Tribolium castaneum: one gene and its partner. The protein of the gene in region 1 interacts with the protein of each later gene in a pairwise test. Links are inferred from orthologs where the notes say so. Each region holds a gene or a part of one and is shown in the gene's direction. Other genes may lie near its edges.

What was found.
Region 2: the proteins of Tnks (region 1) and proteasome inhibitor PI31 subunit interact in binary tests that used the Drosophila melanogaster proteins (3 or more experiments, as listed by UniProt). The link is inferred for Tribolium castaneum from reciprocal best matches to the Drosophila melanogaster genes Tnks and PI31.

Annotation. Positions count from the first base shown.
Region 1 is NC_087397.1:12,006,177-12,009,833, reverse strand, and holds part of Tnks (poly [ADP-ribose] polymerase tankyrase), read left to right. Parts: intron 1-1,320; coding exon 1,321-1,574; intron 1,575-1,626; coding exon 1,627-2,091; intron 2,092-2,172; coding exon 2,173-2,401; intron 2,402-2,453; coding exon 2,454-2,839; intron 2,840-3,657. UniProt on the Drosophila melanogaster protein: Stimulates proteasome activity, probably by ADP-ribosylation of PI31. Modulates 26S proteasome assembly.
Region 2 is NC_087402.1:1,007,421-1,010,451, reverse strand, and holds proteasome inhibitor PI31 subunit, read left to right. Parts: upstream 1-1,232; 5' UTR 1,233-1,532; coding exon 1,533-2,348; 3' UTR 2,349-2,375; downstream 2,376-3,031. Other genes in the region: cilia- and flagella-associated protein 44, read right to left, coding at 1-40, 90-954, 1,004-1,192, 2,427-2,613, 2,680-2,700, 2,766-3,031.

The DNA of each region.
Region 1 (3,657 bases):
TACCAAAAAATTTCTTTTAGAGTTTATTTGAAAAATATAAATATGAATCTCGTGAGTTGCTTTTCTCGGAATATTCGCTAATAGAAAAAGTCGAATGTTTACACTGACTGTCTCGAAAATGTATTTTTTTGTCTTATTACTACTACTAAAATCATTGTGTTTATGTTCTGGGGGGGGGGGCATTCAACCCCAAAATTTGGACCATAATAAGCTAAAAGAAATCTAATATGAAAAAGAAGTAGTGTTTCTAGTATTTTGGCACATTTTTTAAATGAGCAACTTCATTATTTAATGAAATTTTGTTACGAATACGCTCAAAAAACGCAAAATTTGTTTGATAATGGACCCACTTGCCTTTTTTGCATTTTTTGAGGTATTTTCTTTTGTGAAATTTTATTAAACCGGGCCTAGACGACTAACCGAGTCAAAAAAATCGATTATGACACAAATGATCCTAGCAAATGACATTATTATTGTTTTGTGCGTTGCTGCACGTTTTTAAGCCAAATGTTGCTAAGCCAAGCTGATAAATTACTAAACTGGTAATGCACTCATCATGCTTTTTTATGTATTTTTTTTAATCAGGCTCATTAATCATAATCAATCATTTGACAAAATTTAGTCAAAAATAAGTTGACAAAAATTCGCCAAATTGGATCGAAAATAGTGTTAGATCTCGTTTTTTTTTTTAAGTATTTGTTTGAGTTTTGAGTTAATGATCTTTTTGCCAAAACAATCTTGAATTAGGTCTAAAATGATATTGTGTTTGTTTTTTCGAGTTTATTTTTTTTTTACATTCTAGCACGTCTTTTAATCAGATATGCAATTATTTAGCAATTATTTGTAAAGAATTTTTAATTTTCATCAGACTTAGTTGTTTTACCAAATTTCTCTAAAACAAATAAATTGGAACAAAAATGAAATTTTTTTTGAGCGTTTTTAACACGTTTTTGACACGTTTTTGAGTGTATTTATTTCACGAAATCACCCAATAATGGTTTTATGTTAGCTTTTTTCTATTATTTAGTAATCAAAATTCCTAAAGCGGGTTAGAAAGGACTTTAACCCAAGATACAAATAGTAGATTTTTTTGGCAACTGTTTGAAACAATAAGAAAAACGTGTTTTTTATTAACCGAATTTTGAGAATATTTTTTGGACGCTGCACTCACTTGTGTAAATATTAAAACTACTTAAAAAACTTTTAATTCTGTGTGATAATAGACACGGTAATGATTAATGAAACAATTATCCAGTCGTCATCGTTTCGAAAGTTATTGTATAACAGTCGATGTTACCGCTTTCTTTCCGCTTTTTCCAGCGGCCTCGTCCCTCTACACAACGCGTGTTCATACGGCCACTTCGAAGTGACCGAAATGCTAATTAAACATGGTGCTAACGTCAACGCCAACGATCTCTGGGCTTTTACACCCTTACACGAAGCGGCTTCAAAATCACGCCTTGAAGTGTGTTCGTTATTACTGAGCGAAGGTGCGGATCCAACTCAGCTCAATTGTCATTCGAAATCGGCAATCGATGTAGCACCGACTCGAGAATTACAAGAACGACTCTCATGTCAGTCAATTCTAATAATTGTTACACAAAAATTTGAACATTTATATTGTAGGTGAGTATCGTGGACATCAATTACTGGATGCTTGCAAACAAGCCGACACCACCAAACTAAAAAAGTTCCTCACATCCGAAGTAGTCAATTTTAAACATCCATATACCGGTGATACGGCGCTACATGTAGCCGTGAATTCGCCCTATCCGAAGCGTAAACAAATAATCGAATTGTTGATTCGTAAAGGAATTCATTTGAATGAGAAAAATAAAGATTTTCTGACACCGCTTCATCTGGCTGCTGATAATTCGCATCTTGATCTCATGGAGGTGCTACTAAGACACGGTGCTAAAGTCAATGCTTTGGACGGATTAGGACAAACTGCCTTGCACAGATGTACCAAAGATGATAACGTCCAAGCTTGCCGACTTTTACTGTCCTACAACGTCGATCCCTCAATTGTCTCGCTACAGGGCTACACAGCGGCGCAATTAGCCGGCGAAAACGCCCAAAAACTGTTCCAAGGTACCGTATGTTCTGACAACTTTTGCCAACTTAACATCATTAGAGTCACAGAATTGATAAATTTATAATTTTTTTTACAAGATCCTCCAGCCGTTAACGGCGATGTCGAATGCCAAGTGTTGGAAGCTGCGAAATCCGGCGATCTTGAACAGGTTCAAAGACTACTAGAAACGTACCCCAACACGGTTAACTGTCGCGATTTGGACGGTCGTCATTCGACTCCCCTCCATTTCGCGTCCGGTTATAACCGAGTAGCCGTTGTCGAGTATCTCCTCGAGCAAGGAGCCGACGTACATGCGAAAGATAAAGGGTTGGAACCGTTTTTTCTCACTCAATGTTGGTATAAAATTAGGGTTTTGTAGCGGTTTAGTGCCTTTACACAACGCTTGCTCCTACGGTCACTACGAAGTGACCGAATTATTAGTCAAACATGGAGCTAATGTAAACGTTGCCGATTTGTGGAAGTTTACACCGTTACACGAGGCTTCAGCGAAAGGTAAATACGAGATTGTGAAATTGTTGTTGAAACATGGTGCTGATCCCACGAAGAAAAACCGAGATGGAGCTACGGCTCTTGATTTGGTGCGAGAGGGTGATCAAGATGTTGCCGATTTGTTGCGAGGGAATGCAGCATTGTTGGATGCCGCCAAAAAGGGGAATTTGGCGAGGATTCAACGGTTGATTACCGCGGAAAATATCAATTGTCGCGATGTGCAAGGGAGAAATTCCACTCCGCTCCATTTGGCCGGTGAGTAGCTTATTTTATTCGGCGCCATCTGTTGTTTTTTCGAAAAATTGTTTTGTTACCATAAGTTAGAGATCAACGAGCTTTTAACAACTGAATGAAGGACAAACAATACCTTGTTACTGAAGAAGACAGAAAGTAAATTTAAAACATATTTTTTTATAAGTATATCGGTAATTGTAATGTAAAAAAAAATAATATACCACAGTATATTCTGAACATAATATTGCATTTAATAAAAATTACAATAACTAGTAAACAAAACAGAAAAACTTGGCAAGTAAATAAAACTAAATGTTGGGAAATGTCAGAACATGGACTGCTTTTAAATTTTAATTATTTACAGATTACAGTTACAGATCACAAAAATTATAAGAAAAAGGTTATAGTTTTTGATGATTAAAATTTTACTTTAAATTTTTTCACAAGCGAAAAAAAAATTTCATGTAGTATATAGCAACTCTTTTATTAAATACTGTATTATAGTATATAATTACATAAAACTGATTGAAGAAAGAGAAATCAATTGCATTTTGTTACACTTGCTGTCTTGAAAGAGGTAGGTGATAAGTTGTAAAAACGTTTTTTAAAGTAGAACTATACTCACTACGTCTGAAGCGGAGATGTTCCAATAAGCGCGTGAACGCAAAATTTGAAATTGAATTTTTGTGAAAAGTAATCAACAAAATGTTTTTTTTTACAATTGGGTATTGTTTCTAAGTTGAATTATGTCCTCATAGGTAAGTTTATACTTTATTTTAAAAATTTGTAACCGAGTCTAACCCCTGGTTTCTAGAACGATATATCGTTAGATAAATTTT
Region 2 (3,031 bases), on another chromosome or scaffold:
GTCGATGACGTTGACGATGATGATGATTCGGAGCTCGATTCTGTAAAAATACTTACGTTTTAAAACTTGTAGATTTTCATCAATCTCACCATCATCCTTGTGCACTTTTGGCGGTTTGTATTTTTTCCGAAACACTTTCCTCAAAAAATCAAAAAACTTGTTATCTTGAACCGCATTTGTGAAACTGACTGTTATCGATTTAATCTTCTCTTGTGCCTTCTCGATGTCGGAATTATGTTCGACGATTTTCGAGCTGATCTCGTCGATAATGTCTCTCATATCTAAAACTTCGGACATTTTCTGATTAACTTTCGACTGAAGTGTGTACTCCAAAGCTTCAAATTCCTTCAGAATGAGCAGTTCTTGGTGCACTGTCACCATAAAAATATCAATGATTTTTGCGTCCACCTCGGCTTGGAATCTTTCAGTGTTCAACTTTTCGACTTTATCATCAAAATCGGTGATTTTTCGGTTCATTTCATCAATAATCACGTCTTGCTCGAAAAGCTTCCTTTGAAGTCTCCGCGTGCGAATATCGTGTTCCCACAAAGTGTCTTTTTTCTCGTTTTTGGAAAAACTACACAATGATTCGAAATCAAGCAGTGCAACATCGCATTCTTTCGCGTCAAATTTTTTGGTATTTTTCGGCAAAACATGTTTTTCAATTGCATCGAAATCTTTCGATTCGGTCACAATTACCGGTTCTTTCCTACTCCCTTCATCATATTCCTCCTCTTCCATTACCATAGTCACGGTAATTTCAAAATGCCTTTCGGGAAATTCGCAGTCCTCCGGTTCTCGAACAATCGGAGCTTCTTTTCGACAATCATCCGGAATTTCTTTATGTATTTCGTCCAATTTCTCGTTCAACACTTGTAGTTCATCCCTAATCGCGATTTTTTCCTCGCGCAAAGCCCAGACTTTTTCATTAAAATTGTGCCTGGTGTTTGATTGCTTAAAAAAAGAAATTAACCGAAAATTGGCTCAAATTCAATTGAGCCACCTTAACTCGCGACAAAAGCAGCTCTTTGTATTTTTTTACTGTTGTTTCTCGCTGATTTTTGGACGCCTTGTATGTTATATCCGATTTCAGCTTGTAATTGCCGATTGTGACTTTGGCGTCTTTTAACGCAACATCATCGTCGGGGTGATTCACCCCCGGCAGGGGCTTTCTAGCAAGAAATTCTTCCCACTATTAGACAAAAAAAAATCGTGTGCCCTTTTGAAAATTTCAAGCCGGCCCTGTTGCTTGTGCAACAGTTGGACGGTCCAAAATATTAAAAAAAACTAATATAATTAACCAGTTAATTTGAGTATGAATGGTTAATGTTAGAATTCCATGTTTTTCCAATAAAACTGAAGGTAAAAAATCGAAAAAAATGGAAATAATCGCAATGATCATGTCCTCCGGTTAGGTAATGACCTGTCAAAAAACATAAACATAACCTTATTGCAAAACAATTTGTTTGTCATCATTTCTAACAGTTTGAAATCGTCAAGTGCGAGTGTTAAACTCGGTTAAAACGTGCAAAATGTCGAGTCCTCTGTTCGGTTGGGACCTTTTGCTGAAAAGCGTCGAGTCCGAGATAAAAACCAACGAAGACATCCTCCTCTGTTTCACGCACTTGGTGCTCATCTCGAACGACTTTAAATGCATCGGTTTGGGCGAATCTAAAATCCTCGATGGTTCCGAAACAAAAACTGAAGCCCTACCACCAGGTTGGACCGAATCGTATTCAATTCGTTACGTCCACCAGGGCCGGCTTTACCTCCTCAAAGCAACCAAAGTTGACGAAGGCCTAATGCTTAACTTGATCCGTGTCGACGAACGCACCACCTCTCTCATCCAACTCAATACGGCCCTGGTGGCAAGTCGCACAGGAACCCTATCTCAGATCCTCCCCAAACACTCGGACATCCTCCAACAGATTAAAACCGAACTGATTGATAAAATCGTTGTTTCGAAAAACACCAAAGACAATTCGAGCCAAACACCGGCTGTTTCCAACCCGCCTCCGACTTCTCCGCCACAAGTTTCGCCGCTATTTGTGGACCCTATGCCACGTGCGGGGCCTGTGGGAGTGGGCGAATACGATTTGAATCCTTTCGGACGGAATCCTTTGGCTTTTCCGGCACCTATGGGCGGTGGTGGCATGCTTTTTGAGCCGCCCAGAGGTGGGAGATATCCACAAGGACCAGGGCTGGGAATGCCCCCAGGTGCTGTACCCCCAGGGGCAAGATTTGACCCGTTTCGACCACCTGACGTCGATAGGTTTCCCAGACGGCCGAATAATCGGCCCGATAATGACGAGTTCCCACCGCCCGGTTATGACGATATGTTTATGTAAAGAAATAAATTGGTGATTGTAAGTTAAGACGTGTCTTTTCCCTGCCTTGTAAGGCAAGACAAACTCTCAGTTAATTACCTCTTCTTCGCGTCGTTCCCATTTGAGTTTCCTGTCTCTGTACTTGTTTAGAAGACGTGTGAGTTTATTATGTTTTTGACTTTCCAATATTTTTGGATCGAGATTGACGAGGAAATATTCAAGACCTTGTTCTTTGACTTTTTTCGGTTGGATGGTTTTGGGAGCAGGGGGTGCACGTTCGGGGGGTCTAAACAACGTAAAGTTTTGTACAAATTTGTAAAAACACGAATTTCAAACGTGGAAAACTACTCACTTATCTATTTCCCTAACTGTCCTATCTGTGGTGTAAGCAAGTAGGAAAAGAAATGTAACACGTGAGTGTTTTGTGTTGATATTCACCTGCCTTTGACCTCCTCTTCGAGGATTTTTTCATCAACAATTTGTAACATTTGGTCATTGAGTGGCGAAACTTTTCTCTGACGTAACATTCGGACCAGTCTTTCGCTCCGGAGGCCGCTCACAATCAACGGAATAAAACACAAATTATCGATGAAATAATTCCGTAGTTTGTTCATCCGCAGTTCGGATTTTTGTACATCGAACGCCAACTTCCGCTTAACTAAAGCCTGTTCTTCCTCCAATTTGTAATCGAGATAATCGGTTAC